Linked DNA regions of Sus scrofa. The protein of the gene in region 1 interacts with the protein of each later gene in a biochemical or structural test. Links are inferred from orthologs where the notes say so. Each region holds a gene or a part of one and is shown on either strand. Other genes may lie near its edges.

Evidence for each region.
Region 2: of the proteins of CCNB1 (region 1) and ZC3HC1, one has a biochemical effect on the other in vitro, tested with the Homo sapiens proteins (3 studies listed by BioGRID, with this or other methods). The link is inferred for Sus scrofa from reciprocal best matches to the Homo sapiens genes CCNB1 and ZC3HC1.

Annotation. Positions count from the first base shown.
Region 1 is NC_010458.4:47,335,084-47,342,160, forward strand, and holds the start of CCNB1 (G2/mitotic-specific cyclin-B1), read left to right. Parts: upstream 1-3,155; 5' UTR 3,156-3,287; coding exon 3,288-3,308; intron 3,309-3,916; coding exon 3,917-4,087; intron 4,088-4,180; coding exon 4,181-4,357; intron 4,358-6,282; coding exon 6,283-6,465; intron 6,466-7,077. UniProt on the Homo sapiens protein: Essential for the control of the cell cycle at the G2/M (mitosis) transition.
Region 2 is NC_010460.4:18,752,587-18,758,880, reverse strand, and holds part of ZC3HC1 (nuclear-interacting partner of ALK), read right to left. Parts: intron 4,176-6,294; coding exon 4,048-4,175; intron 3,192-4,047; coding exon 3,037-3,191; intron 2,001-3,036; coding exon 1,760-2,000; intron 1,115-1,759; coding exon 902-1,114; intron 340-901; coding exon 133-339; intron 1-132. UniProt on the Homo sapiens protein: Required for proper positioning of a substantial amount of TPR at the nuclear basket (NB) through interaction with TPR.

The DNA.
Region 1 (7,077 bases):
CTCATCTCTACCCTCAACTTCGCCCATATTTTAGCCACACTGGCTTTTCTGACCATGATAAGCCCATTGCTGTGGTAAAAAATAATAAACAGAAACTTCAACTAAAATACAGTGGGAGGAGCTCCTGCTGTGGTGTAACTGGATTGTCAGCCTCTTGGGAGCACTGGGACTCAGGTTCAATCCCTGGCCAGGAACAGTGGATTAAGGATCCAGCATTGCCGCAGCTTCAGCTAAGGTGAATCCGATCCCTGGCCCAGGAGCTCCATATGCCACAGGGTGGCCAAGAACGAATAAAATAAAATAAAATAAAAGACAGTGGGAGGTCAGAAAGGGGGGTTTTCATGCCCTGTGACTATAGCACTGCCCAATGGTAAGGCAAGATGCCTCCTCTTTTTGCCTGGTAAGAGCTCAGCCAATAAAAAGCCACTATACTTCAAACCCTCAATTCATCCAATGGACTCCACTGTCTACAGTGTTCCCCAATTTTTTTTTTTTCCCCTCTATATAAGAGTTCTTTCAGGAGTTCTCTTGTGGCCTAGCAGGTTAAGGATCCGGCATTATCACTGCAGCAGCTTGGGTTGCTGCCATGGCACAGATTCAGTCCCTGGCCCAGGAACTTCCACATGCCATGAGTGTGGCCCTCCAAAAAGTCACACAAATTTAAAAAAAAGAAAAGAGATGATTCGCAACATAGTAAATCAACTATACGTAAAGATAAACTAAAAATTAAATTTAAAAAAGGAGATGATCCATGAAAGTTGTATCAATTAAACATCAAAAGTCAACATTCTTAACAGAAATGAGTCACAGATGTGTACATAGTTGGCAAGATTTCTAAAGTCTGGCAATCTCGGAGAATTGACATGAGACTGGATAATCACCTGTGTGTGTGCCTATGGGGTGCGGGCTGTCTTGTGCTTGGCAGGATGTTTTAAAGCATCTCTGGTCTCTACCCTCTAGATGCCAGTAGCATCTTCCCAATTGTGACAACTAGAAATGCCAAGTGCCACCCATGAGAAAAAATGTTCCCCAGTTGAGAACTGCCATGTTAAAAGAATTTCCTATGGTGAGGATAGGGTATTCACTTAGGTCTGCTAAAGGCCTGGTATCCTAGAGTCATTCATTCAAAGTACGTGGTTTTTGGCTCAGCAGAAACAAACCTGACTAGTATCCATGAGGATGCAGATTCAATCCCTGGCCCCCCTCAGTGGGCTAAAGGATCCAACCTTGCCATGAGCTGTGGTGTAGGTTGGAGACTTGGTTTGGATCTGAGGTTGCTGTGGCTGTAGCAGTGGCATAGGCTGGCAGCTGCAGCTCCGATTTGATCCCTAGCCTGGAAACTTCCATATGGCACGATTGCGGCCCTAAAAAGAAAAAAAATGTATGTGCTTTCTCAGCTTCAGCTAGCTGGAGAGAGCCCATGGCAATGGGAAAACAATGTTAGCATTTCCTAAGCAAGTGCTGCTGTGAGGGGAGGTGAAATCGAAGGGAACTTGATGAGGAGCATGGTTTTAAAGTGTCTTCTCACAGACACTTTAGTTGTAAGAAAAAAGCAAACAACTAAGTGTACAGTGCCAAAACCAGGTAAAAGCTTAGCCAAGTGATCAAAATTAATCTCCCTTATGGGGAACAGGTGAACACCACATGTTTGCAAAGTTGATCCCCTTAGAATATGATGTCACCTCCACGGCATAATAGCCAAAAATGCATAACCTCGGTGTAAATCACAGGAACCATTAGACAAACACAAAAATAAGAAAGTTCTATTTCCTAAAAAGTGGCAGGGAGTACTGCACTCTTCAAAACCATCAGTGTTCAAAAAACAAAAAAAAAAAAAAAAAAAAAAACAAAGACAAAGGAAAGCTGTGGGAACTGTTCCAGACTAAAGGAGGCTACATGCAACACTGACCCTAGCTGGATCTTGTACTGGAGGAAAGAAAGTGCTAGAAACTGCTCAAGCGACAAAATTAGAATACAAACTAGATTGAATAAAATGTTATAGTAAATTTACGCAGTTGCTAATTCTATTGTGATTACATTAAGAGAATATGCTTTTTTCCTTAGGAAATACACACTAAAAATTTAACAGATAAGGAGCCATGATATATATAACTTACCCTCAAATATTTAAGTGGTTTTTTGTTTGTTTGTTTGTTTGTTTTTTTAAGGGCCGCACGTGCAGCATATGTAAGTTCCCAGGCTAGGGGTTGAATCAAAGTCACATCTGCAGCCCACACCAGAGCTCAGGGCAACTGAGCAAGGTCAGGGATGGAAACTGAATCCTCATGGATACCAGTCAGGTTTGTTACTGCTGAGCCACAACAGGTATTTCCAAGAAAAAAAATTTATATACAGTTATACATAGATCTATATATAAGATTAAGTAAACCATAAAACAAATGGGGTAAAAATGTTAAGGATATTTGAATCTGGATAAAGGCTCTATGTGTGTTCCTTGTTACATTTTTGTCTGAAACTTTTGTAAGTTTGAAATTATTTTCAAGTAAAAAACTAAAAGAAAAAGATTGGCTTTGGGAAACAACTTGATTGAAGTAATCTGGCAGGTTAAGAGGCAGCCTGGCTTGCAAAATTAAGAGACAATTAGTGTGTGGAAACCTCATGGATCCAAAGAAAGTGAAGTTCAATCCCGTGTTACTAATTTGTGATCCTGGGAGTCACCCAAAGCATCTCGGAGCCTCCTTTTTATCCCAGAGTGCTGTTGGAATGAACAAACGAAAAAAGAATGTATATATAAAAGTATTTCCTGCTACAAGCCACTCTAGGAGAGGAAAGTGTGTTTAACAAGTAGGACTAAAGCCATAACTGCCCCTCACGTCAAACAAGGAGCTCCACTCTTCCTTTCCCAAGGCCGCTGTGACTTGTCTCAGCTAACTTTAGTCGCTTACAAGTTCACTGCTCCAGGTGTGGGGCAAAGAGAACCCTCCCTTCATCAGGTGGCAGTAGCGGCTGCCCCAGGGCGCAGGCGCCGAGTCAGACCACGTGACGGCCTGGCCCCGCCCCCGCCCGAACTTCTTCGCGGGATCGCCTTGGAAACGCATTTTCGGAGGAACTGGCCGCCGCCAATGGGAAGTGAGCGAGTGCCACGAACAGGCCAATAAGGAGGGAGCGGTGCGGGGTTTAAACCCGAGGCGGGGCCGGATTCCTCCCGGCGTGCTGCGGAGGAACGGCTGTTAGCTAGTGGTGGCTTCAAGGTCCCCGGCTGGTCGGGGCTCCAGTGCTCTGCTTCTCCCCTCTGAGCTGCTGCCTGGCCTGGTACAGAGGAAGTCATGGCGCTCCGGATCACCAGGGTGAGCTGCTGCGGTTGGTGAACAAACGCGGCTCTCCTGACTCCTGGGTCTCCTCTCCCTGTTTCCCCTGCTGGAGTTCCCCCACGGTGGGAGCGAATTTGGAGAGGAGGAAGGCGGTCGGTGGGCCCCTAACATACTGGGAGAGTTTGGGGGGCAGACGGACGGAGAGAGAAAGGTGCAAAAGAGAAGCGGATGGGCCTTGGACTAATTGGGGGGAGGGGGCAGATGGAGGGTAGACCGGAAACCTTTTGTAAAAGGTGTTGGAGGACCCGAGTGGGCTCCCACCAATTGCGCAATCTTCTTCCCTGAGGGAAAGGGAAGGTGCCTGCAATTGAAGGCTTTTTCGATTTCCATGGTATTTTAGGTCCGGCGGGGACTGAGCACGTAATCCCTCAATAGGTGAACGGAGAGGTTCCAGGAGAAAACTGACTTGTCATAAGCTTAGCGTAGACCCTGGAACCCCGGTTTCCCCTGGGAACCCATTCACAGTCGGCTTTCCTTCTGAGGGCCGCAGTTTTTTTTGTTGTTTTTTTTTTTTGCCCCGCTTTAACCCTTGACTTATTTTAACGTGGCGGGGCCAACTCCCAGACTCGTCTTGCTTCTTACAGAACACGAAAATTAATGCTGAAAATAAGGCGAAGATCAGTATGGCAGGCGCAAAGCGCGTGCCTGTGGCCTCTGCTGCAACCTCTAAGCCCGGACTGAGGCCAAGAACTGCTCTTGGAGACATCGGTAACAAAGTCAGTGAACAGCCACAGGCCAAACTGCCTCTGAAAAAGGTAACTATGCTGATTCAACTATTCTGTGAGTGTCTCCCTTCCAGCTGTGGCTCTTGGTGGAGAAACAATCCATTCTCTCCTTTTCATCCACAGGAAGCAAAAACTTTAGCTGCTGGAAAAGTTGTTGCTAAAAAACTACCGAAACCTCTGGAAAAGGCTCCTGTACCTGTATTAGAGCCCCAGCCAGAGAGGGAGCCCGAGCCTGAACTGGAGCCTGAACCAGAACCTGAGCCTGTTAAAGGAGAGAAACTTTCCCCTGAACCTATTTTGGTAAACTTTCTGGACCATTTTAGAGTCTGTTGATTGTTTGTTTCCTTTCATTTTATTCAAGTATGGAATAGCATTTGAACAAATAGTAGTAATAGTAACATTTATATAGTACTTAACAGGAAGTAGGTTCTGCTAAGCACTGTACATGCATTAGCTCACGTTAATAGTATACTCAGCACTGGTATTCTTCTAGTCACATCTAGTCAATGACAGAATTGGGTTCAAACCCAGCCTATCTGGCTTCAGAAACTGTGCTTTTAATTGCTTTGTTTTACTACCCCTCCTTTGTTTACGGTATTGAGTGGTAGCTGCAGGGACCAAAGATTTTGCTGTCTTTAAGGTACCAGTCATCTCTGACCAGAATATGTTGACTGAAGCACAGATTGTTCTCTTTAAGTCCTTTTTGTTTACTCCCTAATGTGGCCACCAAATAATAATAAGCCAACACCGAAATATATAAATGTGTAAAGCAGAAAATGTAGCTCTTCAGAGAGCAGGGTAAGAAGATGGCTTAACACTTGGCCTCAACACCAAGAACTTTTTATTAAATATCAGATATTAAATGTATCTTCTTCTGTGAGGGAAAAATATTTCATCTAGAAGAGGCTGCTTGGCTGAAATTGCAATGAATTGCATTCTTAAGTACTAATTTTTAATATCTCCTTAAAGCTGGTTGGGAAATGGTCTGTTAAAGTCATTCAGCCTCATTGTATGTCTAAGGGAAGGGGATGTGACTGAGGCTGTGGATTTAATATTGACCTTCTGGACACAGCACAGAAAACTGTAGCATGCACAGTCTTTGTTTTATGGGATTTTTTTTGTGGTTTTCATTTGTTCCTTTTTTTTTTCCCCCACTCTTTAATTGACCATACCTCATGACCTGAGCTTTCATTTAAAAGTCCCATAGTGATTCTAACCTTTGCTTCCCCACTTACAAGAATACTTTTCCCACCCTCTTTCATGTAACTGATAACCTTTTCATCCTTCATAACAGCTCAAGCATCAACACCCAAAGCTTTCTTTAACTTCCCCCATCCCCATCTTAACTTCCCCCACCCTACTCTTGTTCCCAGAATCAGTCTCTTTACTTCATTTACTTCTTTGTTTTGTTTTTTGTTTTTTGTCTTTTGTCTTTTTGCCATTTCTTGGGCCACTCCCGCGGCATATGGAAGTTCCCAGGCTAGGGGTCTAATCGGAGCTGAAGCCACTGGCCTACACCAGGGCCACAGCAACGCTGGATCTGAGCCGCATCTGCAACCTACACCACAGCTCACAGCAACACCGGATCGTTAACCCACTGAGCAAGGGCAGGGATCGAACCCTCAACCTCATGGTTCCTAGTCAGATTCGTTAACCACTGAGCCTCGACGGGAACTCCCATTTACTTTTTCTAAATTCAAAGCTTCTTGAGGACATCATAAAGCCAGTGTCTAGCACAGGGCTTGATTTGAAGAAAGTGCTCAGTCAATGTTTGGACCACAGGGTAACTGGAGCTTGAGGAAAATGGTTTGTGATAACAAGTCAGTTAATCCTTAGTAGTCAGAACAGAACTTGTGTTCTTTTGGGCAGTGGGAAACAGTCCATAATTTGAAATAAAGACTAAGGATTAACATATTCACTTGGATTAACTTCACATGACATCGCTAAACAGATCCATTACTTACCAGTTTTATTTGGAGGAAAGTCTTGAATATGAATTTGCTTCCTCTCTGTTGTAACTGTTTAGCTGCTGCCTCTAAATTGGCTCAGCCTAAGTTGGCATTTTACTTTTCCTATTATTTCCTGAAGATACACTGAATAAATTTGAAAAGCTAAATGAATTGTATATCTATTCAGCAGGTAGTCTTTTGAGTTGGTACCAGTTATCTGACCTTTATTCGCAGACCGTGTGCTCTTCTTAACTGTTGTTTCAAAATCTGTTTCAGGTTGATACTCCCTCTCCAAGCCCCATGGAAACATCTGGCTGTGCCCCTGCAGAAGAATATTTGTGTCAGGCTTTCTCTGATGTAATTCTTGCAGTGAATGATGTGGATGCAGAAGATGGAGGGGATCCAAACCTTTGTAGTGAATATGTGAAAGATATCTATGATTATCTGAGACAACTTGAGGTCAGTATAGTAGTACAGAATCTTTGTTTTTTGTCTAAGCTGCATCTAGCTTTATCAAAGAGATACTCCATTAACAGTTTAAGCATTTCTAGGCATTCCCATTGTGGCTCAGTGGTTAACGAATCCGACTAGGAACGATGAGGTTGCGGGTTCCATCCCTGGCCTTGCCCAGTGGGTTGGGAATTGCATTGCCATGAGCTATGGTGTAGGTCGAAGATTCGGCTCAGATCCCGCTGCTGTGACTGTGGTGTAGGCTGGCAGCTACAGCTCCAGTTCGACCCCTATCCTGGGAACCTCCATATGCCACAGGTACAGCCCTAAAAAGACAAAAGACAAAAAAAAAAAAAAAAAAACCATTTAATCATTTCTTTTGTTGTTGTTGTTGTTGTTGTTGTTGTTGCTATTTCTTGGGCCGCTCCCGCGGCATATGGAGGTTCCCAGGCTAGGGGTTGAATCCGAGCTGTAGCCACCGGCCTACGCCAGAGCCACAGCAACGCGGGATCCGAGCCGCGTCTGCAACCTACACCACAGCTCACGGCAACGCCGCATCATTAACCCACTGAGCAAGGGCAGGGACTGAACCCGCAACCTCATGGTTCCTAGTTGGATTCG
Region 2 (6,294 bases), on another chromosome or scaffold:
TGTTCTTTTAGGATGAGTCTACCTCGACGAATGAAAGCTGTGGGCAGATAGGGTGCTAATTATAGGACCAGCCTCTGCTCCTCACCCCATAAACAGCCAGTGCTGCACAGGATCAGCAACGGCTTATCTTACCATGGAGTCGGTTTCAGCGGGCTGGTTAGACTGTTTGTGGGCCAAGAGGCTGTTCAGCACTGCCCTCCAGCCCGGCTCTGCAGGGGTGCTGGCATCCACCTCAGCTCCACCACTCTCCTTGCTTTCTTTGCCAAGTGTGATGTTCACCCAAGGGCACCAGTCTCTGTGCTGAGAGGTGGGATCGAAGAAGCCTCGGGGAGACGCGTCCTGAGGGGGGAAGAGAAACTGTGTTGATGACGGGCAGATACGACGTCAACTCAGGGAGGCTCTGCTATTAGCTGTCAAGTCTAGAATCTCAGAACTCCCACATTTCTCATTTTATGTTCTCCGTTAAATCAGCTTTAAATGTTATTTCCCTCTCAGTATTTTCAAATTCTTTCCCTCCCTTCGGGGTAAACCTATACCGTATCAGGTCTGTCCCCCTTCCTCACTGCCGTCCCATGGGCCCGACACATTTATTATACCCTCAGAATTCATCTCAGAGAAACAAATGGCAAAGCCTTTCATTTTTTTCCTCTCTGGTCACTGTCCCCCTTTTTTTTTTTGGCTGTGCCTGCAGCATTTGGAAGTTCCCAGGTCAGGGATCAAACCCGAGCCCCAGGAGTGACAATACCAAATCCTAACCACTAGGCCACCTGGGAACTCCCCCCAACTGTCCCATCCGTAAACTTATTCCCATTGCCTCCTCAGAACCACAGGACTGGCTCATGCCCGCTTCTCCTGGCGTGCGACTGTGCTCAGGGACCTCTACACACGCAGGCGCACACACCGAGCTGCTGGAGGAGCAGAGGCGAGCTCGTTTGGCTCTCCTAAGAGGACTAGATGGCACTTCCAGGCCAGCAGTGTCTCCTGTGCCCATGCTTCGGGTCACTGGGCGGGTTCTGGTGGTGGGGCTAGCGGCCTCAGGCTCAGGACGGTCAATAGGACTGGAAGAGTCCCAGCTCCGAGTTCGGGTGACAATGGGACCTGGGCTCCTTTCAGCCTGAAGAAGGAGAAGGGAGGTGATGGAATTAATGAAATATTTCTAGAAGCATGTGAAAGTTAATTTTTTTTTTTTTTTGGCCGCTCTTGCAGCATATGGAAGTTCCTGGGCCAGGGATGGAACCCGTGCCAGAGCAGCGACCCAAGCTGCTACAGTGACAACACTGGATCCTTAACCTGCTCCACAAGAGAACCCCAAAAGATGATATTTTATAAACTATAAGAATTTACTTTCTGGAGTTCCTGTCGTGGCGCAGTGGTTAACGAATCCGACTGGGAACCATGAGGTTGAGGGTTTGATTCCTGGCCTTGCTCAGTGAGTTAAGGATCCGGCGTGGCTGTGGCTATGGTGTAGGCAGGCAGCTGTAGCTCCGATTAGGCCCCTAGCCTGGGCACCTCCATATGCCATGGGTGTGGCCCTAAAAAGACAAAAAAAAAAAAGAATACTAGATTTCTACACAAAATAATGAATTTGGCATCTCCACTGCAACTGGTGAATAAAACCACTCTGAAGTATTCTGATCCACGTAATTAGAAGTGAAGATTATCCTAAATTAACTAATCTAAGTTCATTCCCACCAATAACACTCTGGCAAGAGTGCTGTTTGTAAAAAGCCCACCCCGCACAAGCCAGCCACGTCTATACCTGCTCTGAGCCTGGGGAAAACGTGGCATCCTGGCTCCGAGTCATCATCCTCCGGGGAGACTCAGGCACCAGAGGGAAGCGCTCGGGCCGGCCCTCGGAGCCGGGGACAGGGGAGCTGGTCAGCCCGAAGGAGGCATCCAGGTCGGCCAGGGATTCCATCTGCTGGAAGCCCCAGAGCCCCACCTTCCTCATGCACTGTGAACATGTTATCAGGGAGAGCTGCACGGGCTCCAGAGCAGAACTGGGCAGGAACAGAAAAGAAAGGGCGTTTTTGCAGAGGGTCACATTTCCAAGGGCCTAAGCACAATGGTCGGCGAGTGTGCGTAACCTCAGCGAGCAGATCTCTGTAACGGCCGGTGGACGGGGAACCACCTCCGCCAGGGCCCCTGTCCTCTGATCTCAGGACCCAACTTCATCACCTCTCACATATTTCCTCTGGAAAGACCCAGGCCTCTTAGTGTGTGCTCTATGGCCAGACTGTTTTAAAGGTGTGCTTTCGAAATTTCTCCTGTCCCTTTTAAAAGTTTTTTCCTTGTAAATGAAAAATACTCCTTAAGCTACCACAGAAAGCATATTTAGAGTAAATCCAAATCGGTCTGACAGTCTTCTGTCTCAGAAGACTCTGTGCCAAAGTGAGCAGCTGGAATGGAAACACCGGCTTGGGGCCAAGAAGAGTCCAGCTGGTGTTTCCTTGGGTAGTTTTTATCAATTAAACTGGTTTTTCCTTTTTAAAACTAATAAGGAGCTTCACCACTTATAGGAACACAAATTCCCAGCTGGGAAGTGATAGTCCAGGTGTGTTCAAGAATTCCTGAGTTGTGGGAGTTCCTGTCGTGGCTCAGTGGTTAGTGAACCTGACTAGCATCCATGAGGACAAAGGTTCAATCCCTGGCCTTGCTCAGTGGGTTAAAGATCCATCATTGCCATGAGCTGTGGTGTAAGCTGCAGGTGCAGCTTGGATCCTGAGTTGCTGTGGATGTGGTGCAGACAGGTAGCTACAGCTCTGATTCAACCCCCAGCCTGGGAACCTCCATATGCCACGAGTGCAGCCCTTAAAAAAAAAAGGACCAAAAAGACCCAAAAAAAAAAAAAAAGAATTCCTGAGTTCTAATTCTCATTGTTACTAATTCTTATTGTCCCCCCTCCACCCCCTTAGCTTTTCTTTTTTACTGTTTTTCTCACAGGAAACACCATGTGATCGCCACATACTATGAGTGACTGACATATATGGGGAAAGAATGTCGTCGCAGTTCATGTTCCCAGGCAAGCTCACTAACCTACACGCCCAGCCACACACGGAAAGAATACAGGCAGTGACGTGGACTTGGATGTCAGAGCCTAATTTGATTGCAGTTTTTCTCTCATCAGTTCGATGATCAAGTTCATCTTCAAGCAGGTGCAGGAGAAGAGTGATCTTGTCTTCTGTCAAGCACTACAAAGGAACCAAGATGAAAGACTTAAAGTTTCAACCACCATAAAAAGAGGTGACAGATAACGATGTACCCAGATGGTACAAAGCAAAAATCATGAAAAAAACCGACAAACATGAAGGCAATTCTCTTTATTGGAGAAGACTGACTTCTAGTACAGGCTAAGGTCATCACACACAAGCTTGGTGAACTGCCCTGGGTCGGCTGATTGAGAAATGGAGCAGTTTTCCTAGAACTACCACATCTTCACACTAACTTTAAAACCTGTAAACTTCAAACCCAAATAATGACAACGGACTACTGTTTATTTCTTGGTCTGACAATGAATTTACTTTTTATTTATTTTTTTGTGGTCTTTTTAGGGCCACACCTGCAGCATATGGAGGTTCCCAGGCTAGGGGTTGAATCGGAGCTACAGCTGCCAGCCTACACCACAGCCACAGCCACAGCCACGCCAGATCTGAGCTGCACCTGTGACCTACACCACAGCTCACAGCAAGGCCAGATCCTTAACCCACTGAGTGAGGCCAGGCATAGAACCTGCATCCTCATGGATACTAGTCTGCTACCACTGAGCCACGAGGACGGGAACTCCTGAATTTACTTTTGACACAGCAAAAGAGCTTATTACAGCCTTTATTTCTGTTCTAAGAATAATAAAGAACTATGACAGGGTGAAAAAAATTTGCTTTGGCTCAGGGACAGGGGGACATTTATAACAGGAATCAGACGTTAACAGTTTGGTGCTAAAATCTATAGTAGCCTCTCATCTTAAAAAAGGCACCCTCTTGTCATTAAAATAAATGCATCATGCTGGTGAAAACTGAAGGCTAGTGCATGCTAGACAGGACAACTCACCATAGTTTTTAAGTCCTCTGGCCTCAGGGAAGGAAGCTGGAGGTCCAAGTGACAAAGGCTTTGAAAACGATCTAAGAATTCACTAACAAGAACACCAGGCTCATCCAAAGGCAACATCCCAAATCGATCTGCGCAAAAAGTAAACTGGGAGATTACGTGGGTGCAAATCGTAAAAATTAAAAGCATGTATAGAACAAAAGAAATGCAAAATTGATAAGATGATGACATTGAGAGATTCCTCATTTTTTTGATAGGGCTGTGATGATACTTTTGTGATTACATTTAAAAAGCAGTCTCAGGAACAGTTTCTCAGGAGCAGTCAGGTCTAAGCTGAATTTTTTTTTCTGGTCTTTTTTTTGCCATTTCTTAGGCCGCTCCCATGGCATATGGAGGTTCCCAGGCTAGGGGTCTAATCGGAGCTGTAGCTGCCAGCCTACACCAAAGCCACAGCAACGTGGGATCCAAGCCATGTCTGCAACCTACGCCACAGCTCACAGCAACGCTGGATCCTTAACCCACTGAGCAAGGCCAGGGATCGAACCCGCAATCTCATGGTTCCTAGTCGGATTCGTTAACCACTGAGCCACGATGGGAACTCCTAAGCTGAATCTGAAAAATTAACAACAGTGTGTAAAAGTAAAGCCCTAAATGGAGTTCCCTGGCAGCTGGGGGGGTGGAGGGAGAAATAAATCCCTCTGATGGCACATCTGGGGAATTCTAAATAGTTTCACAGGGTTAGAACACAGTACTCCTGTGGGGAGACTTGGCAAAGATAAGGTTAAAATACAGAGACAGGAGTTCCTATCATGGCGCAGTGGTTAACGAACCCGAGTAGGAACCATGAGGTTTCAGGTTCAATCCCTGGCCTCACTCAGTGGGTTAACGATCTGGCCTTGCCGTGAGCTGTGGTGTAGGTTGCAGACGCGGCTTGGATCTGGCATTGCTGTGGCTGTGATGTAGACCGATGGCTACAGCTCCAATTAGACCCCTGGCCTGGGAACTTCCATATGCCACAGGAGCAGCTCTAATAAAGGCAGAAAGACACACACACACACACACACACACAAAAAAAAAAAGTTAAAAATAAGGAGTTCCAATACCAGCATTTTTAGCAACATGGCTGAACCTAGAAATTATCATGCTAAGTGAGGTCAGCCATACAATGAGACACCAACATCAAATGCTTTCACTGACATGTGGAACTGAAAAAGGACAGACTGAACTTCTTTGCAGAATAGATGCTGACTCACAGACATTGAAAAACTTATGGTCTCCAGAGGAGACAGTTTGGGGCGTGGGGGAATGTGCTTGAGTTGTGGGATGGAAATCCTGTGAAATTGGACTGTTATGATCATTATACAACTACAGATGTAATAAATTCATTTGAGTAATAAAAAAAAGTGGGAAAAAATAAATAAATAAATCAGGAGTTCCCATCGTGGTGCAGTGGAAACGAATCCAACTAGGAACAATGAGGTTACAGGTTCAATCCCTGGCCTCACTCAATGGGTTAAGGATCTGGCATTGCCATGAGTTGTGGTGTAGGTCGAAGATTCGGCTCAGATCTGGCATTGCTGTGGCTCTGGCATAGGTCAGCGGCTACAGCTCCAATTGGACCCCTAGCCTGGGAACCTCCATGTGCCACAGGTGCTGCCCTAAAAGCATAAAAGACAAAAAAAAAGTTAAAAATAAAAGAGATACTTTCTATATTCAAGGGCTATAAAATACTCTTTAAGAGTTTATCAGGAGTTCCCGTCGTGGCACAGTGGTTAACGAATCTGACTAGGAACCATAAGGTTGCAGGTTCGATCCCTGGCCTTGCTCAGTAGGTTAAAGGATCTGGCGTTGCCATGAGCTGTGGTGTAGGTTGCAGACGCGGCTCGGATCCTACATTGCTGTGGCTCTGGTGTAGGCTGGTGGCTACAGTTCCGATTCGACCCCTAGCCTGGGAACCTCCATATGCTGCGGGAGAGGCCCTAGATAAAGCAAAAACAAAAACAAACAAAAACAAAAAACAAAACAAAACAAACAAACAAAAGAGTTTATCAAATTATTTACAGTTGTTGCAGGTAATCAAATGTGTCAACATACACATCATTGGAAGTTTCCTGGTAGCTCAGTGGCTTAATGATTTGACCTTGTCACTGCTGTGGCGTGGGTTTGATCCCTGGCCTGGGAACTTCTACATGCCAGAGGCATGGCCGAGAAAAACAAACAACAAAAAACACCTGTCATTGATTTTTTTTT